Callithrix jacchus: one gene and its partners. The protein of the gene in region 4 binds, or shares a complex with, the protein of the main gene of each other region. Links are inferred from orthologs where the notes say so. Each region holds a gene or a part of one and is shown on either strand. Other genes may lie near its edges. The genes, in order: DHX16, CRIPT, RBM48, SNRNP200, CWC22, SART1 and SF3B5.

The links.
Region 1: SNRNP200 (region 4) and DHX16 share a complex: the UniProt entries of both Homo sapiens proteins name them as parts of the minor spliceosome. The link is inferred for Callithrix jacchus from reciprocal best matches to the Homo sapiens genes SNRNP200 and DHX16.
Region 2: SNRNP200 (region 4) and CRIPT share a complex: the UniProt entries of both Homo sapiens proteins name them as parts of the minor spliceosome. The link is inferred for Callithrix jacchus from reciprocal best matches to the Homo sapiens genes SNRNP200 and CRIPT.
Region 3: SNRNP200 (region 4) and RBM48 share a complex: the UniProt entries of both Homo sapiens proteins name them as parts of the minor spliceosome. The link is inferred for Callithrix jacchus from reciprocal best matches to the Homo sapiens genes SNRNP200 and RBM48.
Region 5: SNRNP200 (region 4) and CWC22 share a complex: the UniProt entries of both Homo sapiens proteins name them as parts of the minor spliceosome. The link is inferred for Callithrix jacchus from reciprocal best matches to the Homo sapiens genes SNRNP200 and CWC22.
Region 6: SNRNP200 (region 4) and SART1 share a complex: the UniProt entries of both Homo sapiens proteins name them as parts of the U4/U6-U5 tri-snRNP complex. The link is inferred for Callithrix jacchus from reciprocal best matches to the Homo sapiens genes SNRNP200 and SART1.
Region 7: SNRNP200 (region 4) and SF3B5 share a complex: the UniProt entries of both Homo sapiens proteins name them as parts of the minor spliceosome. The link is inferred for Callithrix jacchus from reciprocal best matches to the Homo sapiens genes SNRNP200 and SF3B5.

Annotation. Positions count from the first base shown.
Region 1 is NC_133505.1:35,454,728-35,458,227, reverse strand, and holds part of DHX16 (pre-mRNA-splicing factor ATP-dependent RNA helicase DHX16), read left to right. Parts: intron 1-1,591; coding exon 1,592-1,802; intron 1,803-1,999; coding exon 2,000-2,098; intron 2,099-2,209; coding exon 2,210-2,362; intron 2,363-3,500. UniProt on the Homo sapiens protein: Required for pre-mRNA splicing as a component of the spliceosome. Contributes to pre-mRNA splicing after spliceosome formation and prior to the first transesterification reaction.
Region 2 is NC_133515.1:68,132,468-68,136,717, reverse strand, and holds the start of CRIPT (cysteine-rich PDZ-binding protein), read left to right. Parts: upstream 1-1,450; 5' UTR 1,451-1,549; coding exon 1,550-1,565; intron 1,566-2,986; coding exon 2,987-3,052; intron 3,053-3,805; coding exon 3,806-3,860; intron 3,861-4,250. Other genes in the region: PIGF (GPI ethanolamine phosphate transferase, stabilizing subunit), read right to left, coding at 1-94, 795-1,049. UniProt on the Homo sapiens protein: As a component of the minor spliceosome, involved in the splicing of U12-type introns in pre-mRNAs. Involved in the cytoskeletal anchoring of DLG4 in excitatory synapses.
Region 3 is NC_133512.1:57,090,155-57,094,422, reverse strand, and holds the start of RBM48 (RNA-binding protein 48), read left to right. Parts: upstream 1-1,468; 5' UTR 1,469-1,473; coding exon 1,474-1,584; intron 1,585-2,133; coding exon 2,134-2,324; intron 2,325-4,268. Other genes in the region: peroxisomal ATPase PEX1, read right to left, coding at 979-1,107. UniProt on the Homo sapiens protein: As a component of the minor spliceosome, involved in the splicing of U12-type introns in pre-mRNAs.
Region 4 is NC_133515.1:6,146,103-6,149,602, reverse strand, and holds part of SNRNP200 (U5 small nuclear ribonucleoprotein 200 kDa helicase), read left to right. Parts: intron 1-164; coding exon 165-336; intron 337-2,077; coding exon 2,078-2,270; intron 2,271-2,736; coding exon 2,737-2,792; intron 2,793-3,500. UniProt on the Homo sapiens protein: Catalyzes the ATP-dependent unwinding of U4/U6 RNA duplices, an essential step in the assembly of a catalytically active spliceosome. Plays a role in pre-mRNA splicing as a core component of precatalytic, catalytic and postcatalytic spliceosomal complexes.
Region 5 is NC_133507.1:49,040,851-49,044,350, forward strand, and holds part of CWC22 (pre-mRNA-splicing factor CWC22 homolog), read left to right. Parts: intron 1-3,197; coding exon 3,198-3,366; intron 3,367-3,500. UniProt on the Homo sapiens protein: Required for pre-mRNA splicing as component of the spliceosome. As a component of the minor spliceosome, involved in the splicing of U12-type introns in pre-mRNAs. Promotes exon-junction complex (EJC) assembly.
Region 6 is NC_133511.1:123,038,134-123,042,088, reverse strand, and holds the start of SART1 (U4/U6.U5 tri-snRNP-associated protein 1), read right to left. Parts: upstream 2,801-3,955; 5' UTR 2,753-2,800; coding exon 2,440-2,752; intron 1-2,439. UniProt on the Homo sapiens protein: Plays a role in mRNA splicing as a component of the U4/U6-U5 tri-snRNP, one of the building blocks of the spliceosome. May also bind to DNA.
Region 7 is NC_133505.1:150,851,934-150,854,393, reverse strand, and holds SF3B5 (splicing factor 3B subunit 5), read left to right. Parts: upstream 1-1,224; 5' UTR 1,225-1,344; coding exon 1,345-1,605; 3' UTR 1,606-1,960; downstream 1,961-2,460. Other genes in the region: uncharacterized protein LOC118153004, read right to left, coding at 1,126-1,224. UniProt on the Homo sapiens protein: Component of the 17S U2 SnRNP complex of the spliceosome, a large ribonucleoprotein complex that removes introns from transcribed pre-mRNAs.

The DNA of each region.
Region 1 (3,500 bases), on a different chromosome or scaffold from region 4:
GCTTTCCCGGATCTCTAATCTCTGGCCTTTCTCTCCTTTCCCACCTAGCCAATCAGCCATTGTCTTCTGATTAATCCACCAGTTCTTGAACCTTTATGGTTCAAATGGTCCTTGAACTGACCTCCAGATACCATGGAGATGGGGCTGTAGGATAGAAGAGATTGTAGAGAAACCTCTTTTTCCGTCCCTACTCATCTCCAAGGTTTAGAAAACAATCAGAATAGAGGAGCATTGCTGCAGAGACTAAAATGCTGTGCGAAGAACATTTGAAAACACTTGGGTTGCTCAACTCAGAGGGAGAAACAGGGGAAGCATCCTGGTTCTTCTAAATATGTGAAAGCTGTTACATGGAAGAAAGGATCAGACTTGTTTTATGTGACCCTACAGGACATAGCTAGGAACCATGGGGAGGTTACAGGGAGACAGATTCCAGCTCCATACCAAAATGGCTGAGTCACCCTCAGATTGCAGGGCTTGTCAGAGTGGTTGGACCCTGGGGCTTGGTCCTCCACACAAGTCTTGGGTAGCTTGGTCTGTGAATAATGAGCTCTTAGTGCTGGAAATGGCCAACCAGGGGTTGGTTTAGCATGTGTTGAGGGGGAAAAGGGATTCATGAATGAGATTGGGGGTGGGATCAGGCCAGCTGAACAATATGTGCCTTTTCAACTCTTCAGAGGCTGTGAATTTCTGGCCCTGGAAGATCACAGTGGAGCAATTGGACAGATAGAACTTGATACTTCATATCCCTTGCAAAAAATCTCTGAGAACCCATGGAGAGCCAGCCAGTGCAAGAGTGTCTGATGCAGATGTTTTTGCCCATCGAGCCAGTGTGCTTTGTGGAATGGCTGGGGACTTTACCATCACAGTTAGGGTTAGGCACAGAGTTGAGGTTGGGAAGGTGGGTAGGGGAAGATGGGAATGAGTCCCTGGGATTTGGCTGCCACCCAGAAAAGCCAAAGAATAAAGCAAAGAGAAAGAAGGTGTCATGTACCTAACTGAGTTGGGGGAAACCAAGGGATGTGCAGAGTCCTCTGAGAGTTGGGGTTGAAAGGCTTAACTTGTTCCTCTTTCCTAAAGAAGAAACAGAGCCAGGAAGGATGCCAGAGGCAGTTGTTCCACAGGAAACCAGGAGCTTCTGGGCTGTCTGAATCACAGCAGCTCTGGTCTATTATCCCCAGCCAGCCTTGGTGGCCTCCTCTTACTGAAGGGGACCCTGCCCTCCACTTTTTTTTTTTTTTTCCTTTAAAACATATCCTTCCACTTTTTCTAGTAAGAGCTGCTGAGTCTAAGCAGACCCTTGACTGAACTAGAGGGCATGTCTGACTTGTCCTGGGTCAGTGTGCAGCCTCTACATCTTGGCTCCTATTGTCTGCTGAGGCTGGAATAGATTGCAGATCACGGGGCTGTGCCTTCTCTGACTTTCTGTTGGTCTTACGTAACTGGGATGGTGGCGTCTCCTTAGAGCCCCCTCCCTCAACAGTCATTCTTGAGCTCTTTGTGTCCATTACTCCCCTCTCATCCAGGGAACCCTGGTGTCTGATAACGCATAACCCAGCGCTCCTCCCTCATTGCTCCCCTATTACCTCTTCAGCGTGGTGATGGTGGATGAGGCACACGAACGGACCCTACACACAGACATTCTCTTTGGATTGATCAAGGATGTTGCTCGCTTCCGACCTGAGCTCAAGGTCCTGGTGGCTTCAGCCACGTTGGACACTGCCCGTTTCTCCACCTTCTTTGATGACGCCCCTGTGTTTCGAATCCCTGGACGCAGGTTTCCTGTGGACATCTTCTATACCAAGGTGCCCCCTCAGGAAGGATGGGCTTAAGTGTGTAGCGGAAAAGCTGGGGACTTTGGAGGAGGTTATCCCAAGGAGGGAAAGATGGAATGGAAAGTCCAAAGGGGAACTAGGATGAAGTGTATGTTGAGTTGGGAGGAGAGGAACGATTTGCCTAAGCAGGTGGCCCTCCTGTGACCCCATCTCTTTCTGCTCTCCAGGCTCCAGAGGCTGACTACTTGGAAGCTTGTGTCGTATCTGTGTTGCAGATCCATGTGACCCAGCCCCCTGGGGATATCCTGGTGTTCCTGACAGGACAGGTGCCTGATATGGTTGGGAGAGGGGGTAATGTATCCCAGGGGAGGACTAGGCTGGCATGTTGGTCTTCTGTGACCCTGGGACCCTTGCTGCTCTCCCCACTCTCTATCCAGGAAGAGATTGAGGCTGCCTGTGAGATGCTCCAGGATCGCTGCCGCCGCCTGGGCTCCAAAATCCGGGAGCTCCTGGTGCTGCCCATTTATGCCAACCTGCCCTCCGACATGCAGGCCCGTATCTTCCAGCCCACACCACCTGGGGCACGAAAGGTCAGTTGGAGAAACCCACACTCTTCACACCTATGCTTCACACAACAGTAGTGAAAAAGGTGTGTGCCTGCCCCATGCAAGGGGAGTCCTGGGCACTGCTGCAGACATAGCTGAGGAGCCATTCTCTCACCCCTGGGGCTGAAGAGAGAGGAGAAATACCGTATGAACCAAGAGAGAGCCAAATACGTGATCTGCAAAGTAAGCACAGTAGATTCAGTGGAGATAGGAAGTCCTTGATGGGCCAGGAGGTGGGATTTGATATGGACCTTTAAGAGAAATGGCTGAGGTTGGGTGCAGTAGCTCACGTCTGTAATCCCAGCACTTTGGGAGGCCAAGGCAGGTGGATCACTTGAGGTCAGTAGTTCTAAACCAGCCTTGCCAACATGGTGAAACCCTGTCTCAACTAAAAATACAAAAATTAGCCAGGCATGGTAGAGGGTGCCTGTAATCCCAGCTACTTGGGAGGCTGAGGCAGGAGAATCGCTTGAGCCTGGGAGGCGGAGGTTGCAGTGAGCTGAGATTGTGCCTCTGCGTTCCAGCCTGGGCGATAGAGTGAGACTCTGTCTCAAAAAAGAAAAATGGCTGAGAAGTTATCAGTGGAAGGCCCAAGGTGCGTCTGAGGTGAGAACGTCAGCTAGTAGGCTTAGTGGGAGGTTCATGCGGTACAGGAGTAGGAGATAAGGCTAAAAACAATTTGGGGCTAAGATTAGGGAGGGCCTTTGATGACAGGAGAGCTTGGACTTATTTATTTATTGTTTATAGACAGAGTCTTGCTCTGTCACCCAGTCTGGAGTGCAGTGGCAAGATCTTGGCTCACTGCAGCCTCTGCCTCCCAGGCTCAAGTGATTCTTGTGCCTCAGCCTCCCAAGTAGCTGGGATTACAGGTGCGTACCACCACATCCAGCTAATACTTTTTTTTTTTTTTTTGAGATGGAGTCTGGCTCTATCGCCCAGGCTGGAGTGCAATGACATGACCTCTGCTCACTGCAACCTCTGTCTCCCAGGTTCAAGCAATTCTCCTGCCTCAGTATCCCAAGTAGCTGGGATTACAGGTACATGCCACCATGCCCTGCTCATTTTTTGTATTTTTTGGAGAGATGGGGTTTTGCCAGGTTGGCCTGGCTGGTCTTAAACTCCT
Region 2 (4,250 bases), about 62 Mb from region 4:
AGACACTTAGGATAATTGAAAATATGCATAAAAGATGGGTATACAGTAGTCTTTTGATATCGGTATCTTTCATGGTGTTTTCCTGGGTGGCTAGCTAATAAAAAACAAGAAGAGCATATGCAATAATGACTTTTTCCATTGTCCAAAATGTTTCAACCCCTACAAATAAGTCATAAAGTCAATTTCCTATGGGCAATGTATTTGTTTCAAAACACCTGGACCTTATAATAGGTGAAGGGGAGAAAGGCAGCAAATCACACTGCCACGTGTGTACCTATGCAACAATCTTGCATGTTCTTCACATGTACCCCAAAACCTAAAATGCAATTTAAAAAATTGCTCTCACTTAATTCACCCAATGCTTTTCAAAGGCAGATACTTTACTGATAAGGAAACACGACAAACAGGTAAGGAGGTCCAAGTTCTCAAGAGCTACAGCCCTCTCTCTGGTACAACGAAATAAAGGGATGGAGAAGGAAACGGATGGCAAGAAGGGACAAAGGGAAAGTTTCCTATAGATTCTATCTTAAGCTGATTGAGGGAGGGCAATCATCAGGAATCCATCCTCACAACAAACCCTTCATCCATTTTTCTGAGCCACCCTCGGAATCGCAGCTGCCAACAGGAGATGCTCCTACAATAAGCAGGAACCAAACTCAAATGTTTGCTGAACGAATGAAGGAACCAGAGTATGTAAAGTGGGAAACTAACTCTCCTGGGAAACCCACACCGTGTTAGGCCCTGGCGTGCCCCCAGGACACCTACAAGGGTGCCACGGGTATGACCTGGCCCACCTCGCTAGGCACCGCAGCAGAGAGACGGCGCTTCCGAGCGGCCCCCAGAGGAGCCCTCGCGGGCATCGCCGCACCTTCACTGGCAGCCCCACCCCAACCTGGGTCGCTCGGGATTCTGCCCGAGCCTAGGCCGGCGCGAGCGTCGACAGCCAGGAACCAGCAGAGAGGCAGGATCAAAGAGCACGGGAGTTGGAGACAAGGGAAAACTGGGGGACAGAGGCAGAAACTCGGATCCGAAAGGGGGGGTCTGTCCATCAGAGCACGCCGGAAGAGTGGCGCTCGAGCTGAGGGCGAGAGCGGGCGGGCCGGGACGCCAAGGCTCACGGCTGCTACGGCAGTTCGCGGGGGTGGCTTGCACCCCGGGGGGCGAGATCGCCGGGGGCGTACATTGGGGCTTACCTAACTCTCCCACCCGCGGAAGGGAAGCGGGGAACTACTGCCTCCTACCATCAGGTACGACGTGCTACCCAGGCCCACCCGCAAGCGCAGGGTTAAGGGGCGGAGATCCAGGGCCGCATAGCCAGTAGCAGAAAGAGAGGGGCGGGCAGATGGGGCAGCCCCGCCTAGACGCTCCCGTTCATTCCTCCCGCGGCCTTCCAAGTTTGGGCTAGACCGGAGCGGCGTGCTTAGAAGCCGGAAGTGGGTTGACGTAGCCCGGAAGGGGAAGCCGTCCGGGTTTTAGTTTTGATGTTTTCGGGCTGCTGTTGCTGCTGCTGCTGCTGCTGTTGCGGCTAGGGGAACCGTCGTGGGGAAGGATGGTCTGCGAAAAATGTGAGTTAAGGGGCTCCTCCTGCGGGAGGAAGAAACTGGGGGAACCTAAATGAACTCTCCCGGGAACTCTGCCTTCTCTTTTGTTTTTTCTTCGCCCACATCTTTGATTCTAGTCGCTGTCCTTCTGCTCTACCCTTTGACCATTTTTGCACCTCCCCAAAGACCATATAGTCCTATAGTATATTTTGTTTTCAGAATGGTCTTAGTTCTGCATCTCCTTGTCTATTTCCATTGCCTTCCCCCAGCTCCAGATCTCATCAGCTCCCCTCCCGTATAAAAATGTTCAGTTAAACCCCAATCACACCTTTCCCTCTTGCAATTCCTGACCTTTCCTTTTTATTCATGTAACACACTAGAACCAAAGACCAAGGACCTCGTCTTACTCATTCCTGTTAGTCATTATGCCAGAATATGGCTTAGAGTAAGCCCAGAAGATGTGTGAATTGAACATCAACGCAAGTGCAAGTTACTATTTCCCTAATTTAACACCTTTAATAAATTCTCAGTGTGCAGAGAACAATGTGGGGATTCTGTATTTGGAGCCTGACGTTCAGGACCCTCCGCAATAAGGCCCCAACTTATTTTTCCAGCTTCATCTTCACTGATCCTTACCCTCTTCACACTTTGACCAAACGTAACTACCCTTTGTGCCCATGTGTACTCGGAGCTTTCCATGCCTTTCCTCAGAATGTGTCCTTTATCAGTCTGCCTTTATCCTCTTTACTCCTTTTTGTTCACAGTCCTATTGCCACATATTCAAATCCTCTCTCTTGCCTTCTCCCCAAACTTTCTTGGATTTCCTTAGCCAGGGTTATATCTTCCTGCATGGAATTTCACCTAGTACTTTAGCTCTCAATTATTACACCGTTTAATTTTTAGCTTATATTTTGGTTGAATGATTCTCAGGTTCTCTCTGAGAATCTGAAGAAAGCTATAGACTCTTGCCAGGAAAGAAAAAAAAAAGATATATAAAAGGTTTGTGTACAATTCTGCCTTGTTCACATATCTCTTAAGATCGACCTGTGGAACATAGATTAAAGATTGCTGTTAAACTACTGTACTATAATCTCTTTAAAATTTTGTCTGATTCATCACTTATTTTTTTCAGTAATTTGTATAGTTTATACATCATAGATGCTTAGTAAATATGTATGGAACAAATAGACTTGCCAGATTTGTTTAAAGTATAAACAAACAGAGAAAGCTTATTATAAGCCATCTTATTATCCTACGGATTTTACTGTGGATCAGTCATTCATTGCCCACAGTTAATACAAGTCTCAGTTCACTGACTGCTCTCCCAGCATTAACAGGCTCCTGCAGTAATAGGACTGTTGATACCATTGTGAACCTTAGGCACAATGTGATGCACTTATGAAATACTAAATTTTAAATTGCTTTTTACTATCTTATTATAACAGGTGAAAAGAAACTTGGTACTGTTATCACTCCAGATACATGGAAAGATGGTGCTAGGAATACCACAGGTATTTCTTCTTTTAGAAAATAGGAATTTAACCAGAGACTCCTGTGAATATTTTATCTTTTACGTTATTTGTAAAATGAAATGTGTTCAAAGTATTTTGTCTATTAAACATGAAAGAATCCTGGGTCCCCAAGTTATTTAATATCTTCTACTTAGTTCTGTTACTTGTACAGGTTCCTAACATCAGGAGATAGCAAAATTATTAAATGATTGTCAAGTGGTGACAGTATCATAATATTTGATTTGATTCAGCTTATTTAGAGACTGCATTTAATTTCTCCGCTCTTCTGAGGAGAAATTTTTTTAAATCTGGTTTTTATATTCTTGAATAAATCCTTTAACCCATTTTACCTTCATTATCATTAATTACTTACAGTGAAGTATTTACCTTCATTATCATTAAATACATAAAGTATGTTTTCGAAGGGAAAGAAAAGAAACATAGACATTCAAGGTCTATGACACTGAAGTAGTGGGTTCTAGATTTTACAGTATATCAAGTAAATATAGACCCATTCCTAAGGTACTACCTTGAGTCTGAAAAATAAAATGATTGTATTTTATACAAATTTTTATTGTTTCTCTAATAAATGTTTTCTTTTTAAGCAGCGTCTTAATAACCTGACTGTTAAATGAAGATTTAAAAATTAGATATAGGCTACTAGTTTGGCAGAAAGTCAGAGAATGAACTTCTTAATGTTATATGTTAAATGTATAGAAGTAACCCTTTAAAATAACTTCTATTTTGATACAGAAAGTGGTGGAAGAAAGCTGAATGAAAATAAAGCTTTGACTTCAAAAAAAGCAAGGTGGGTAAGAGGATCCATAGAGAAGTCATATAATTTTCACTCTTTTAATGTTAAGCCTACTGGAGTGAATTTGATGTGCATCATTCCAATTGCAATAAAACATAGAGTTAGGTGGTTCCTGGCACTCAGAACCAAGCTATTTGTTATAACCTGCTGGTTTTACCTTATTCCTCCTTACTGTATGTCCCCCTCTGACTTCATATTGTACCATACTCCTCCTCATTCATCATATGCCATCCTCATTGGTTCTGCCAAGCCTCCCCCATCCAAAGAGATTTGTCCTTGCTGCTGTGTCCTCGAGGTCTTTACTGAGAGCTTACGTATCTGGCTCCTTGGTGTTTGGGTCTCAGCTGAAGGGTCTTTTCTCGGAGAGGTTTCCCTAATCAGCCT
Region 3 (4,268 bases), on a different chromosome or scaffold from region 4:
CACAAGTCACAGGATTCGCAGGATGATGTATATTGTAAGCCAGTCACAAGTTAACAAACTATCTCTGTGCCTGTGACAAGCTGATAAATTATCTCAGTCCTGAAACTCTCTTAAGCTCCTCTCACCCCATAAAAGCCCCTCATTTTGTGAGCTCGGGGCTGCCTCCTCTGAGTGTTACCAACAGCCTGGCAAGTTAATAAGACTTGCTTGCCTGACTTTGGGTCTACTCTCCTTTCCTCTTGGCTAACCTTACAATGAGAACTTCAAATACGCTATCCTTTTGCCCCCATAAGCACACTCAAATTCTTGAGACCATGTGCCTCTATTTTTAATTATGAAAGTAGGGACGCTGTATCTCCACCAGTGGTTACAACTGTGAAACTTCCCTACCACAACGTCCAGAAAGGCGACTGATCTCAGAGCTTCAAGTGATCCTAACTACGTTACGTGTTCCTAACACACCACAGCTGTGTTCCGAGGGTCAGCGACGCCGCGCAAAACCATCATTGTATTAATCTTTCCCGCTTATGGGACGCGGTGGTCAGTCCCCGGGAATCTACCCGGGCTCAGCCAACAATTCTCCGCCTCCCTCTCGCGGCCGGGACGGCAGCAGCGCAGGTAACTGGAAATGACTGGCAAGAAAAACACCTTTTAAAATAACAAAAACAAACGACTTCTCAGGAGATATTCCAACCTGGAATAAGGAATATTTCTAAAAACAATGGTAGAATGTTAGAATGTTTCTAGGCTCAGTTTCACCAAGTGAAAAGACCTGGGATAAGACAAGCCCAGGGCTGCCCAGGACTTGTGGGACGCAAAGACTACTCAGAGGGGCCCTGTCCTCGAGGGACCCTTCGTCTGACCTCTGCGCGCTTCGGCGGCGCCCGAAAGGCAGCAGGCATCCCGCCGCCTCCCAGAGAGGTTTCGGCCTAGTCCGACCCCAGGCTGAACAGCAGGTGGCCGGAGCCGGCACGTTACCTGCAGCAGGTGCAGCTGGGCCACGAGACGCCGCGGCAGGTGGAGGAAGCAGTCGCGAGCGTTGGTGAAGACCACAGTCACTGCCGTCCCGCCTCGCCCAGCATCCGCCAGGAGATCGCTGCCCCACATCGTCCTTACGCGTCGCTCCGGGTTCGCCCCACCCCAGCGCCGCAGCGGACCCGGGACCTGGCAGGCCAAGGGCGTCGGAGCCGGAGGAGATAGATCGGCCCCGCCCCCTCTGACCGCTGCGCCTCTCGTCGCAAGCCTGTATTAGGTGGAACAAGCGAGCTTCTGCCACTCACCGCGCCTCTCCGCGGTGCCGCTCGCGGGGGCGGCAACTCGTTCATCAAATCCTCTCACGCAGGAAACGATGGCCGACGCTGTCGATTCTCCAGCCAATCGTGGGACTCCTTGACTCATCTCGCTCTCTTATTGGGGAAAAGGGAGCTCAGCAGGGCGGATGTTGTCCTCCCTGCGAGGATCAAAGCAGGCAAGATGGCGTCGAGCGGTGGGGAGTTAGGGAATGTATTTGACCACCACGTCCAGCGGGCGGTATGCGACACGCGGGCCAAATATCGGGAGGGACGACGGCCTCGTGCTGTCAAGGTAAAGTGATTTTGGTTTCATTCGCTCTCTTCGGTAGCTTTATATGAGTGCTAGCGCCATATAGCCAGTCTACAGAAATAAGGGCAGGACAAGGCTGCTGTCAGATCCCTCTCTCTTTAGAGCTAGCGTGAAGAACCTTGCTTGGGTCAGTTATCAAAGATTCTCACGATCCTTTTGGTCAACTATTAGAACAGCACCTCCACGAGAGTAAGGCTTGGTTTTAGTCATTGGATCTTCTGTATTTACAGTACTACTTGGCACAAGGTAAGCGCTCAGTGAATACTCGTTGAGTGATTGTTCCCGGTGAATTCTACCGACTCAATTTCTGGAAAAAAATGTCGACTGAAGGTAGTCTGTTATATGCCTTTGTTAGGTACCCTCTCACATGGGCTGTTACTCTTTATGCAGAGGGAATGAGAGACATTTTATTTTGTGTTTGGGTTGAACAGATTATTTCTTGTTTTGAAAGCGCTGTTTAAAAAAAAATAGAGGCAGATTCGTCCTAGGTTTATTTGCGAGATACATTTAACGACTCTGCATTTCTTTCAGGTATATACAATCAATTTGGAATCTCAGTACTTACTAATACAAGGAGTTCCTGCTGTGGGAGCCATGAAAGAATTAGTTGAGCGATTCGCTTTATATGGTCCAATTGAACAGTATAATGCTCTAGATGAATACCCGGCAGAAGACTTTACTGAAGTTTATCTTATTAAATTTGTGAACTTACAAAGTGCAAGGTAATGTGCAAGTTAAGCAGTGACTCATTTTCTCCATTCATATTTCTATCATTTTGGGCCCAAGTTTCCCTCATTCATACCTCATTCAATGTAATCTAGCCTATATTCCACTTATTTTCCTCTAGCCTTTTTAAAGGTATACTTTACTTGAAGCACTGTTCCCATCACATCATTCCCATGCTTAACAATTTAATGTCCTGTGGTGTGGTAGATTAAAAGTTGGGTTTGAAGTTAGGACACGGTGGCTCTCGCCTGTAATCCCACCACTTTGGGAGACTGAGGCAGGCAGATCACTTGATGTCGACAGTTCAAGACCAACCTGGCCAACATGACAGAAACCCCAGCTCTACTAAAAGTACAAAAATTAGCTGGGCGTGGTGGTTGGGACCTGTAGTCCCAGCTACTCAGGTGGCTGAGGCATGGGAATCACTTGAACCTGGGAGGTGGAGGATTGCAGTGAGCCAAGATCATGCCACAGGACTCCAGCTTAGAGTCCAAAAAGGCTGAAGTATGCAATGCCTTATCTATTTTTATGTTATAAAGCGAGGCTCTCAAAAAAAAAAAAAAAAAAAAAAGATGGGTTTGAGGCCAGGCACATGGCTCACACCTATAATCCCAGCACTTTGGGAGGTCGAGATAGGGGGATCACCTGAGGTCAGGAGTTCAAGCCCAGCCTGAGCAACATGGTGAAACCCTGACTCTACTAAATACAAAATTAGCCAAGTGTGGTTGCACAAGCCTGTGCTACTGGGAAGATTGAGGCACAAGGATCACTTGAAACCAGGAAGTGGAGGTTGTGGTGACCTGAGATCACACCACTGCACTCCAGTCTGGGCAAGAGTGAGACTGTCTCAAAAAAAAAAAAAAAAAGTTGAATTTGATCCCAGCACTTTGGAAGACCAAGGTGGACAGATTGCTTGAGCCCAGTTCAAGACCAGACTGGCCAACATGGTGAAACGCTGCCTCTACGAAAAATACAAAAATCAAGCTGAGCATGCCTGTAGTCCCAGCTACTTGGGAGGTTGAGGTGGGAGAATCAGTTGAGCCCAGGAGGCATAGGTTGCAGTGAGTTGTTTATGGGCCACTACACTTTAGCCTGGGGGACAGAGTGAGACACTGTCTCAAAAAAATAAAACAAAAAGTTGGGCTTGGAGTAAGTTTTCCAGTCCAACTGCTTACTAGCTTCATGACCTTGGACAAGTTATTTAACCAGGTTAAACCTGTTTTTCCTCTTCCATAAAATCTATATGCTAAAGGGACCTTCTTGAGGTAGTATGCTGATGAAATGAGATGATCCATATAAAGGGTTTAGCATAGTCCCTCCTGGTCAGAATACAGTAAGCATTAGCTATTGTCACTCCTTTCTGCGAATTGACTCAGTTTTTTCCAGCCTTCTATCTGATATAAGCCCTCTGCTCAAAAAAAGCTGAAGTATGCAATGCCTTATTTGAATCCTTGCTCCTCAAACGAGAGTATGAGCATGGCTAAGTTATATAATGTCCTAGTGCTTCACTTTCATTATACAGTTGTGAGGTATTAATTCAAGGGAAGCACTTATGACATTGCTTGGCATATGATAAAATCTCAACAAGTATTAATATTATCCCTGGATATAGGAGTAGTTAAATTTATTTATTGTAGTACTTGGCATATCATAGATGTTTAGTAAGTATTGACTGAATAACATTTTTATTTTCTCATTGTTATATATTTAGTATTTCCTCAGTTATTGAAGGTATTATGATTATAGTATTTTTCATCTGATTTTTAAGGCATAAATCCCATTACAGAAATACATTGTGCTGAAAAAGCTTAATTGGATATGAACTAACTCTTCAGGGCCACAGAAAAGCTCTATTTTATGACCAGAGTTTACATACCTCAGGCCAACCAGCTGGGTCCTTAGTTGCTTAAAGACTAGGGAACAAATCCAAGAGGTTTAAA
Region 4 (3,500 bases):
CCCCTACAAGTGATTAAGGCCAAATAGGAATCATTTGCTGAGGCTGGGGTACCTGTTTTCAGTTATTAGCTTCTTTCCAAGAAGCTGAGGAGGGTGGGTTTGATCCAGTCTTGCCTTGGGGAGGAAAGGTTCTGCCATTCAACATCACATTACATGTCCATTAGGCGAAGAAAGCGCGATGAGGATCGGCATGACATCAATAAGATGAAGGGTTATACTCTGCTGTCGGAGGGCATTGATGAGATGGTGGGTATCATCTATAAGCCCAAAACTAAGGAGACTCGGGAGACCTATGAGGTGCTACTCAGCTTCATCCAGGCTGCTCTTGGGGACCAGGTGAGTGTGATACTGTGAAATATATATTCATTCTTTATTTCATTTCCTGGCAATACAGCTTCTAAAATCCTTGGAATCTTTGAAGTGGTAATGTCTTTTGTACGCTGATGAGTTGACTGATGGCTGACCAACCCCTTTATGGAGGCTGGTCATTGAATCAATCATGCCTATGTAATGAAGCCTCCATAAAAACCCCAAAAGGACTAGGTTTAGAGAATTTGTGGACAGCTGCCCACATGGAGGTTTCTGGAGGGTGGTGTGCCTGAGAGGGCCTGGCAGACCACACCCCTTCCCATATGCCTGCCCTGTGCACCTCTTCCACCTGTTGTTCATTGGTAGGCATCCTTTGTAATATGCCTTTTATAGTAAAAATAAGTGTTTTCCTGATCTGTTCTAGCAAATTAGTTGAACCCAAAAAGGGGATCATGGAAACCTCAATTTATAGCTGTTCAGTGAGAAGCATACATCAAATAACCTGTGCATGTGATTGTCATCATGAAGTGGGAGGCAGGCTTGTGGGACTGAGTCCTCAACCTGTGGGATCTGAAGCTTTCTAGGTAATTAGTGTCAGAACTGAATTGAATTTGAGGACACTCAGCTTGTGTCCACTGCACTATTTTTGGATTGGTTGCTGATGGGGAGGAATCATCACAGAAGCCTTCTATGTTAATCGTTGTGAGAGTATAGAAAAAACTGAGTTTGCTTTATTTCTGTATTCTCAGAGTGAAGCGGCCAAAGGGTGGGACCATGTGTTAGAAAGGGAGAGGTCATAGCTGGGAGACACCAGATGACCCTTGTCACTGGATCCCCATGGGGGCCGTGCTGGTTTACAGAAGTGGCTTATATTTACTGAGCACTTGATTTGTTTGGAACAGCACATGTCTTCTTTTTTCCCCCTCATATAACTCTGTGCAAAGGTGCTATTAACATCCATTTTACAGAAGAGATGTGAGGCAAGAATACTTAAGTAATTTTCCCAAGTCACAGAAGTAGTATTTGGCAGAGCCAAGATATGATTCAGGTAGTTTCTCTGTAGAATCTGTGTTCCTAACCATTACACATGTGTGTGTGATTAGATTGGGGACCATTATGAGTCTGAGAAGCTCTGGTGAGGGGGGTGCTAGAGGAAGTGAGGACAAAGATTTACAAAAGTGTGGGAGGCTAGAGCAGGTCTGCCAAGTGACTGCCACCTGGAGACGTGGCAAGCTATTCTGGAAGCTGTGTCCTGTTTCTTGAGGCCATCTAGCCAATCTTTTAAAAAACAGACGAGTCGGCTGGGCACAGTAGCTCAAGCCTGTCCCAGCACTTTGGGAGGCTGAGGTGGGTGGATCACGAGGTCAAGAGATCGAGACCATCCTGGTCAACATGGTGAAACCCTGTCTCAACTAAAAATACAAAAAATTAGCTGGGCATGGTGGTGTGTGCCTGTAATCCCAGCTACTCAAGAGGCTGAGGCAGGAGAATTGCCTGAACCCAGGAGGCGGAGGTTGCGGTGAGCCGAGATTGCGCCATTGCACTCCAGCCTGGGTCACAAGAGCGAAACTCCGTGTCAAAAAAAAAACAGACGAGTCTTCCTTTAGTTGTGGCATTTTAAATCAGCATTAATGAAAAAGATCAGAGCCTATTATGAGGCAGGTTTTGAAGAGGTGTGGCTCTTCACATCCTGCTGCCACATAAACCTGGTTGGTGATGTTCTGCCTATCATTGTGCTCAAAATTTGTTGGTTGTTTCTTGCCACCAGCCACGTGATATCCTTTGTGGGGCAGCTGATGAAGTTCTAGCTGTTCTAAAGAATGAAAAGCTTCGGGACAAGGAAAGACGAAAGGAGATTGACCTGCTGCTGGGTCAAACAGACGATACCAGATACCATGTGCTAGTGAACTTGGGCAAAAAGATCACAGACTATGGTGGAGACAAGGAAATCCAAAATATGGGTATGTAAGCTCTTTATGTCCTGATCATGTTAACGGTTGTTGACCCCTAAACATGCATCTTCTAGCATTATTCATTTAAAAACCGTAGTGTCAGTAAGTTCTCATAATTAGTTTTGCGTTTTTTGAGGAGTTACAATTGATGGACACCAGAATCCCTAGATTCCAGCAGCTGTTCCTTACTCTGAGACCCTTTATTGTGTAGAATAAGGGAGAAAATGTGGGCAGAGCCTTGGGGGCTCAAGTGTTTGAGCAAGCAGGGCTGGGCTGACTCCAAGGCTGGCAGGTTGGAGAAGGTCTTGGCAGTGGCCGCATAGGTGGCTCTCTCATGTTGATCATCTGAGTGTCTGTGTATCCTTAGCCCTTAGATCTTTCTTGAGGAGAGGTAGTTGGGGAGGACATTGGCTCCAGAGTTCCTTGTTTTACTAGCCATTCACTGCCCTCTTTTTCTAATCCTTCATTGTTTCAGATGACAACATTGATGAGACATACGGTGTGAATGTGCAGTTTGAGTCAGATGAGGAGGTGAGTGATAAAGCAAACAGACCCAGTCCATTCTTGTTTTTGAAGTTGTTTAAGGTAAAGGGACCCCTTTTAGTGTAAAGAAGCTCCCTTAAATGTAAATTTCATGATGATGTTTGGGTTTCAGACTTAGGCATTATATGTTCTTTTGCTTAAAAAAAAAATGCCGTTATCCTTTAACTTTTCTATAGCAAATTGAAACTAACAAATATAAAGTAATATAATTATTTAAAGTATACCAAGTGGATCAATAAAAAGAAAGACAAAAGGTAAAGTACAGTGAATACTTTCATTGAGAATGTATCTGCTCTTATTGTACTGCATTTTAACCTTCTTGCCATAAATTCCTATTTTTCAGTACTGTGTCCCGCTGTTTCAAAAGATTGCACATTTGCCTTAGAGCATGGACATAGTTCATACATGGTGTTGTTTTTTTTTTTTTTGAGATGGAGTCTTGGACTGTTGCCTGGGCTGGAGTGCAATGGCACAACTCTGCTCACTGCAATCTCCACCTCCTGGGTTCAAGTGATTCTCCTGCCTCAACCTCCCGAGTAGCTGGGATTACAGGTGCCCACCACCACGCCTGGCTAATTTTTGTGTTTTTAGTGGAGATGTGGTTTCACTATTTTGGCCAGGCTGGTCTCAAACTCCTGACCTCATGATCCACCTGCCTCGGCCTCCCAGAGTTCAGGGATTATAGGCGTGAGCCAC
Region 5 (3,500 bases), on a different chromosome or scaffold from region 4:
GGTAATATTGAGCATTTTTTTAATATATATATATATAGGCTATTTGTACATCGTTTGAAAAATGTCTGTTTTTGTCATTTGCTCATTTTTTAGATTGGGTTATTTGTTTTCTTACTATTGGGTTGAATTCCTAATTTATTTTGGATATTAACCTCTTAGCAGATACATGGTTTGCAAATGTTTTTTCCCATTCTGTAGGTTGTCTCTTCACTCTGTTGATATTTTCCTGTACTGTGCAGAAGCTTTCTAGTTTTATGTAATTGCATGTGTCTCTTTTTGTTTTGTCACCTGTGCTTTAGGGGTCATCTCCAAAAAAATCATTAACAATACCAGTGTCTGGGAGCTTTTCCTCCTTGTTTTCCTGTTAGAAACTTAGAGTAGTTTCACAATTTCAGGTCTTATGGTTTAAGTCTTTAATCTATTTTGCGTGGATGTTTGTATATGGTGTGGGACTAAGATCTATTTTCATTTTTCTGCATCTGGATATTCACACAATTTATTTATTTATTTTTATTTTACTTTAAGTTCTGGTGTGTATGTGCAGATCTTGCAGGATTGTTACATAGGTATACACATGCCATGTGGTTTGCTGCCTTCATACCCCTGTCACCGAGATTAGGTATTTCTCCTAATGTTATCCCTCCCCAATCCCGCTACTATCCCTCCCCTAGGCCCCCACCCCCCAACAGACCCCAGTGTGTGATGTTCCTCTCCCTGTGTTCATGTGTTCTCATTGTTCAACACCTACTTATGAGTGAGAACATGTGGCCTGACACCATTTATTGAAGATACTGTCTTTTCCCTATTGTGTCTTCTTAGCCGCTTTGTTGAAAATCAATTGACTGCAAATGGCTGGATTTGTCTCTGGTTTATTTGTTCTCTGCAGCTCTATGTGCCTCTTTTTATACTACTATCATGCTGTTTGGATTACTATAACTTTCGTAGCAGATTCTAGGTCAGGTAGTGTGATGCCTCCAGCTTTGTTCTTTTTGTTCAAGATTGCTGTGGCTATTTGGAGTCTTTTGTGGTTCCATGTGAGTTTTAGGATTGTTTTTTCTATTTCTGTGAAAACTGTAATTGGAATTTTGAGAGATTGAGTCGAATCTGTATGTTGCTTTGAGTTTTATGGACATTTCAATAGTATTATTTCAATCCATGGACATGGGATGTCATGCATGTTCTTCCAGTTTTGCATCAGTAATTTGTGGTTTTTGGTGTATAGACCTTTCATAGGTTTTCTTTTTTCCATAACTATTATAAATGGAATATTTTCTTGATTTCTTTTTCAGATAGTTCATTGTAAGCATATGGAAGCACTACTGATTTTTGTATGTTGATTTTGTGTCTGCACCTTTACTGAATTAGTTTATTAGTTCTAACAATTTTTTTGGTTAAGTCTTCAGGATTTTCTATATTAAGATCCCATTTACAGCAAAGAGACTTCTCTATTTTTTATTTGGATTCCTTTTATTTCTTTCTCTTGCCTAATGGCTCTGGCTAGGTCTTACCGTACTATGTTGAATGGAATTGGAAAGAGTAGGCACCCTTTTGTTATTCCTTATCTTAGAGGAAAAGCTTTCAACTTGTCACTGTTGAGTGTTATTAGCTATGAGCTCGTCATATATGACCTTTATTCCAATTTAATTTCTAATGAGGGTGGAGGGATAATGTGAGAGAAATGGGAAAGATGAGCAATAAATTTCAGAAAAGCAGAAGGGAATCACCATATTCTATAATATGTGGCTTTAAGCAATTGGTGATACTTAAAAGGGTCAAAAAATATAAGTACCCCATTTTCTATTTATTATTTTAAAATCTATGGGCTGTTTTCTCATGTCATTTTACATGACTATGATTCTTTTAAAAAATAGGGAATATAGTAGCCAGGCATGGTCGTTCAACATCTGTAATCTTAGCACTTTGGGAGCCTGAGGCAAGTGGATCAGTTGAGTCCAGGAGTTTGAGACCAGCCTAGGCAACATTGTGAAACCCCATCTCTACCAAAAATACAAACAGTAGCTGGGTGTGGTGGCATGCAGTAGTCTTAGCTACTCCAGAGGATGAGATGGGAGGATCGCTTGAGCCTGGGAGGTGGAGCTTACTGTGAGCCAAGATCATGCCACTGCACACCAGCCTGGGTGACAGAGTGAGACCCTGTCTCTCCTTAACCTTACCAAAAAAGGTTGGGGTATAAAGTAGATGTAGCAAGTTGTAGAGGTACAGAAAGTTGATCAAGAGACAGCCACTTAACCTCACCAAAAAAGGTTGGGGTATAAAGTAGATGTAGCAAGTTGTAGAGATACAGAAAGTTGATCAAGAGATAGCCATTATCCTTAAAAGTAGGCAGAGGGCTCTCCATTTTACTTAGGAAAAAAAGTAGAGTTAGAAGAGTTATGGATTGCTAAAGATATTATAATTTATAAGCTGCATCCTTTTTCTCATTTTCTACTCTAGTGATTCAGTTGTCATATCTAAACCTACCATTAAGACTTTTTTTTCTGACTTTTGGCAGTCCAATAATTACTTGTCATTACATTGCTAAAAATAACTTCAGTTTGCCTGATTTGCCTTTTTCCCCTTTCTCATCAAATGCCTATAAAAACATGACCATTTTCAAAATCAGTTACAAGTAGATACCTTTTCATTTCCTGTCATTGTTTTAGCATTAATCTAGCATTGCTTTTAATTGTGTCTTTATTTCTCATAGGAGTATTCCAGATCTTCATTTTATTCTACTAAAATTAGACTTAAAGATTTAATGTCAAATTTGTCTTTAATAACAAAATTAATTTTAAAAAAAATGATGGACCTGTAGTAGAAGCTTTGTATTGTCTAACTTTTGAAGCAGGTCTGTTTTTGTTTACTTTTTTGAAAGTGTTAAACAAATTATTTATATGAACCTTAACCTCAAATTCATAATTACATATAACAAACAGATGGGGATAAGAGGAATTATATATAGAGAGAAAAATTTTGAAGATAAATTGCAGTAAAATCTTTATTCTATTTTACAAAATCACAAATTCACATTTTGTTTTCTGAAAAACAATTTTTATTAGTAAGATGAACTCTTTCCATTTAGTTCTGATTTCGATTTTATGATTATTTATAGAGAACTCTTACTGTATTTTAATAGTTTTTGTTTCATGTAATTAATTTGGTGATTACTTTTGACTCCTTTCTTATTTTTTAAACAGAGGACTGCTGTCCAGATCTGTTCTGCAAGCACAGAGTGCGTCTCCAATCTTCACCCATGTTTATGCAGCATTAGTGGCAATTATCAACTCAAAATTTCCACAGATTGGAGAATTGATCCTCAAGAGGTTAATTCTTAATTTTCGAAAAGGCTACCGAAGAAATGATAAGGTATATATGAATGGCTTGTAAGTAGAATTATACATAAGAACAGACTAATAAACCAGTATCAACAAAAGTAAGCAAGGTTAGTTTTGACACAGCTACATATATCATACTCTTTAAAAACTGTCTTTCTTGAGAAC
Region 6 (3,955 bases), on a different chromosome or scaffold from region 4:
TTAAGCCCTGGAGAATACCTCAGTTTATAGTGTTACTACTCAGTTATTTCTTTTTATATAATCCTTTATATGATTATATATTAGTTTATAGAATTAGGGCTTGGAGAGTATCTGTTTACAGTGTTACTACTCAGTTATTTCCCTTTGTACAATCCTCTCTATATGATCACACATTAGTTCATAGAATGAGTGCCTAAAGAATATCTTACCACTCAGTTATTTTCATATATATTAAAACTATATCTAAGTTTATAATCAGAGGAATGCCTAGAGTAGATACAGTACAGAGCATGAATTAAGGAATAAGCAGCTTATAATCGGAGGAATGCCTAGAGCAGACACAGAGCACCGCATGATTTAAGGGAAAAATGTTATACCAGGGCAAGAATCCATGGCCTAGGCAGCAGCATTCAGTATTATAGATACCCGCTGTATGGCAGGCTTGGGGCAAGAGCCACTCCTCCTGATAAAGGAGTTGTAGGACCTTGCACCAGTTCCTGTGGAAGGCTGCCCTCAGACCGGCAATCACACCTTGGTGACTGTGAACTTTATCAGCTCTTGTTACTGTGCTGCTCGAAAAGCATTCCTCTATAGAACTTATTGGAAGCTGCCAGCAGGTGGCATAGACCCTGACAGCTCTGTCACTGCTATGTGACTTAAAGCATCCTCCTATAAATCTTCTTAGTAGCTTACCCATAGATAGAGGTATTGCACACTGCACCCTCTTCACTGCACATGGCCCACCTCCATACCTCAGTGACCTAATGGGGGTGGACCCCTTACTGCACACGGCCCTTGCCTTGATGACCTAATGGGAATGGACGCCTTGCTGCACACTGTCCACCTCCCAGCCTAGGTGACCTAATGGGGTGGACCCCTTGTTTTATTGCTCACGACCCTATCACTATCCTTAAAGATGACTTCACTCACTGCCCTGCCCCCTAACCTAAACACAACAAACACTCACGCTTCTGGACATTTGGGGCCTCACCTGACTCCACTCATAGGGGCGTGGCCCCTCGAGCCCAGCTGCATTTTCCCTGTACTTCTGTGTCCTGTCTCTTTTTTATTTTTTTGAGACGGAGTTTCGCTCCTGTTACCCAGGCTGGAGTGCAATGGCGCGATCTCAGCTCACCGCAACCTCCGCCTCCTGGGTTCAGGCAATTCTCCTGCCTCAGCCTCCCGAGTAGCTGGGATTACAGGCATGCGCCACCATGCCCAGCTAATTTTTTGTATTTTTAGTAGAGACGGGGTTTCACCATGTTGACCAGGATGGTCTCGATCTGTTGACCTCCGGATCCACCCGCCTCGGCCTCCCAAAGTGCTGGGATTACAGGCTTGAGCCACCGTGCCCGGCCTGTCCTGTCTCTTTATTCCTTGGATCCTGCGCCTCAGCACAGCATAAGGCACACCCTGTGGGCCATCAGCCCTACAAGCTTCACTGGCCACCCAGATACTGACTCCCAGTGGCTTTATCCAGTCCAAACTCTGGCTTTTCACATGCACATCAAGCTCCACAACCCCAATTATCCATCCCCCTCCAAATCTGCTTCTCTTCTCTGCTCCTCAGTTTCAGTAGAGATGACACCCACAACTCATCTGGCTGCTCAAGTCAAAATTCAAGGAATCATTCTCAATGCCTTTTCCTTCCCAGTCTCATACAAGTGCTGAGTTCTGTTCATTCCTCCTCCAAAACACCTCTCCAACCTGTCCACTTCTCTCCATCCCACTGCTGCTGCATTGGTGCAGGCTACCATCGGCCCTCATGTGGTCTCTAGCAGTCCTGATTTCCTGGTCTCCAATCCTGACTACCTTTGACTAAGTTCTCAATCCAGCAATGTTTACAAAATATGGATCTGAGCAACTCACTCCTCAACTCACATCCATGGCTCCCTACCAACCTCAAGACAATCTATATTTCTTAACGGAACCTACGGTACACGGTCCTTTGTGTTCACATCCCTAACTATCTTTATCTTACTCCCTCATTTCACTACCATGAGCCCTACACGATTCTTCCAATACCAGGTTTCTCTCGCCTCTGCATACGCTGATACTACTTCATTCATTCATTCAACACATTTATTGAGGATCTGTAATTGTACCAGACAACTGAGGAAAACAGAAGCCCTCTGTCCTCAAGGAGCTAGGTGGAGAAAGTCAATCTCTAATCCTAATCAACCATAGAAAATACTTTTTTTTGAGACAGTCTCGCTTTCTTGACCAGACTGGAGTGCAACTGGCGCGATTGCAGCTCACTGCAGCCTCTAACTCTTGGGCTCGAGAGGTGCCGTAGAAAAACTATTTAATAGGAGTTAACGTAGACAGTCTGGGGGTTTCCCGGCCTGGAGAGCTTCGCAGCCACTGCGCGCACACCCAGACCCGCCCGCTCCGGGACCCCTGCCCGCCCCGCCCCCTGAGCAGGTCCCGCCTCCTCACCGGCCTCATAGCCGTCGTCGCGCTTCTCCCGCTTCACGCGCCGCTCTGAGGGCTCTGCCTGGCTGCGCTCCCGCCCGTGCGTGCTGCTCCGGGCCTCAGCTTCGGCCCCGCGCCGCCCACTCCCGCGCTCGCCTCCACGTTCCCGGCTCCGCTTCCGTCGTTCGCCGCCGCTACCGCCACTGCCGCTACTCCGGTGCTTGTGTTTTTTGTGCTCCCGGTGCCGCGGCGGCTGCTCGGTGGCCCCACCGGTCCCGGCCGCCGCCGTCGTCCCGGCCGCCTCTTTCTCTCCGCGGTGCTTCTTGGACGACCCCATAGTAGCGCGTCAGCCCCAAGCCCGGCCGCTGCCGAGCCCAGACAACGCAAAATGGGAACACTTCCGGGTCGCTCGGCAGCCGCTGTCGTGTTGCGGGAAACTAAGAGCGGCTGCTTCCGCCGCTCGCCTTGGAGCCTGCCCCAGAGGCTCATGGGAAGGCTAGGATCAGGGCTCCACTGCGCATTCGCGCGGTCTTGGGTCCAGTGGGTTCTGTGAGCAGGTGGTCCTGTTGCGCATGCGCTCCTCAAGGGACGCGGAATTAACCCCGGAGATGGGATCCCAAAACTGGAAGGAGTTAGACCTGCTCCACCCACCACACAAACAGCAAATAACTTTACTGAACACTATCAAATGTGTTCAGACACCTTAAGCCAGTGTCTTCGAGGCTGGAAGTTCCTCCTTGGCCTCCCTGCGCTTGTACTTCCCCGGCAACGTGGTGTTCACTACCTCACGGTCTCCGTGGACACCTCCCTCCTACAGTGGGCGCTCGCTTCCTGGACTCCTGGGGTCGTGGCTCCAACGGGTGTTGTTTTCCCGAGGTCCCCAATTGCATAGCCCAGCTTCCGACTCCCTAGAACCAGTATCCTCAGGGAACGCTGCCTTCCCACGTCCCCCGGGTTGTTTTTCTCTTGAGATAGGATCTCACTCTGTTCCTCAGGTTGGAGTGCAGTGGCGCCATCACCGTGCACGGCAGCCTTGACCTCCCGGGCTCAAGTGATCCTCCCACCTCAGCTTTCCCAGTAGCTGGGACTGCAAGTGCACGCTACCACGCCCCTCTAATTTGTGTATTTTTTTATAGATATGGGGGCGGGGGTCTCACTATGTTGTCCAGGCTGGTCCTGAGCTCAAGCGATTCACCCGCCTTGGCCTCCCAAGTGCCGAGATTACAGGTGTGTGCCACTCTGCCTGGCCCTGGATTGGGTTTTTTAAACGTGTGAACTGTTAAGGAGCTCCACATGGGTGTCAGTGTGTCCGTGGAACCCCTGAAATTGAATGCAAAATATGGCACATCTGTGTGTATGATTTTTTTTCTTGAGGAGAGGATCCCTAACTTAAAACTACTGGAACTTAAAAAGACCAATGCACACATTCCCTCCTGAAACCCCTCCCCCCACCCAACGGTTACTAAGACTGTGGCTCCCTGTGTGGCACAGTCAGTCTGTGTTAGGGTATGTTGTATGCACCCCTCTGAGGGTCCACCCC
Region 7 (2,460 bases), on a different chromosome or scaffold from region 4:
ATCCATATGAGGAAGTTATTAAACTAAAAATTAGGATATAAAGCAATAATAAGGAAGAGATGGATAATCTGCAAAGAGGAAGAAGAATTTACATCTGTCTGGAGCAGCCAGAGAAAATTCTAGGGAGATGCATTTGAGCTGCCTTTAAGGCAGATGCGTTCACCAAGGGAACAGACATTCCAAGTAGAGGGAACAGCTTGCACAAGGAACTGGGGAATGGGCACAACAGGTAACATGGAGAAGTACAGTTGTCCCTCAGTATCTGTGAGTGATTGGTTCCAGGACTCCATGGATACCAAAACTAGAAGATACTCAAGTCCCTGATATAAAATGGCTTGTATTTGCATATACACACATCCTCCCGTATAGTTTTTCTCTAGATTATTTAACAATACCCAATACAATGTAAATACTATGTAAATGGTTGTTATATTGTTTAGGGTATAATAACCTTTAAAAGTCTACACTTCGGTACACACTAATTTTTTTCCCAAATATTTTCAGTCGGGTTGGTTGAATTCACAAAACCCACTGAATGGAAGGGCCAAGTAGGGTGCCGTGAGGCATTGGAGGGAGGATATCAAAATAACTGGCTAGAGAGGAAGGAGGAACTTGAGGTGGAGCCGGAATGTGAGGAAATGGGTACTGTACTTGCTCACCAAACACCCTGGTTAGAGCTGAAATAACTCTTTGATGCTACAAACTCCTAAGCGACATAGTTGGGACCAGAACTCGCGCCTACTGACTTCTGGGTAATCCATCCCGGGTAGTGAAGGGACTGCCGTGCCGCCACGATAGGTCCGAAATACATAAGAGTTTATTTTCGGGGTTGCTCGTAGTCCACTCCTATTTGGGTTTCCCATTTCCCATCAGCCCCAAGCCAACCACGGATGCTTCCCGCCTCGCAGACAACACCCTCCACTAGGCACCCATACCGCTTTTAAAAGGCGACCAGAAGTTCCGGAGGCTGGCGTGCACGAACTCCAAAGACCAAGACCACAAGTCCCAGCATGCAACGCTCCCGGTTGAAAAGGGCCTCTCATAGCCACTAAGCGGACCATCATGCAACGCTCTATGAAGGGGCACGGCTCACTACAGGGGCGGCACACTTGTAGCGTCGCATACCTCGGCAACTCCAATTCCGTGACTGATGTGCTTCCGCTTCCGCTTCCGCCTCTGAGCCCTATGAGCGAGAGTTACACTACTTAGTCTCAGTGACGCCATTCTTCTGCGACCGCGTGGGCCCGGAGGTGCTGTGCGGTGTCCTCACTCCCGCTTGAAACGGTAGAGCGGTGACTTGTTTCCTGCGGCCTCTGACCTCGGAGCGAAGGGGAAAGCGGCGAGATGACGGACCGCTACACCATCCACAGCCAGCTGGAGCACTTGCAGTCCAAGTACATCGGCACGGGCCACGCCGACACCACCAAGTGGGAGTGGCTGGTGAACCAACACCGCGACTCGTACTGCTCCTACATGGGCCACTTCGACCTTCTCAACTACTTCGCCATTGCGGAGAATGAGAGCAAAGCGCGAGTCCGCTTCAACTTGATGGAGAAGATGCTGCAGCCTTGTGGACCGCCAGCCGACAAGCCCGAGGAGAACTGAGACTGCCTTACCAACGCCGTGCGCGGCGCCTCTCCCAGCGTTCCTCCCGTTTGCCAAATCCCTCGAGTATTCCTGCCTTCAAGGGACCGGCTCTCTCCATGGCTCCTGCGTCCCGCGCTTTCTGCGTATAGAAGTGCTTGCCGGGGAAGTCCCTCCTGACCCGCCTTCATGTGGACACTTTGGGACAGCATTGAGAGACCAGCAGGACCCCTGAGAACTGTGCTGGCGGAGAGGTCCTGCAGCCGGCAAGTCTCTGAGAAGAGGGCGTGGCGCTGGAGTGAGATGGGATTTGGCGTCTCGTTTTTGCCTAATTGATTGTCATTGGCTTTTTCCATAAAGTTTAGAAATCGTTCAGTCTCTTGGTGTGAACTTCCTGTGTTAGGGTGGAGGGCTCCGGAAAGAGCTCCAGGCACCGAGGTTCGCGAGAGTCCGAGTGGGAAATGGGTTTGGGTGAGGGTGCGAATGCCAGTGTCTGTGGCCAGGCACTTAGATATGCCTGTATACCTTTATAGTGTTCCCCGACTGCCACTTCCTCCAAGAGCTTTATTTTCAGTCTCACAATGACTTCAGTTTTGAAGTTTGCGGTTAATGTATCCCATCTTTTTCTTCTGTTTTAAAAATCTTTGCTGTCATTGTTTTCCCTAGCCTCTTTAAATTACATCCTTTCTTTTTCCTGGGAATTTGAAACCATGTCTCCAGAAATGACAAGATGGCAAGCGAGTTCATCCATTCTACATTCAACAAATATTTGTTGAGCTCTATGTGACAGGCATTTTCCCATGTTCTTGGGTATACATTAATGCTGGTGGTGGAGAAAGGTCAAACACTGTAGGCATAGCAAGCAAATGTTAGAAG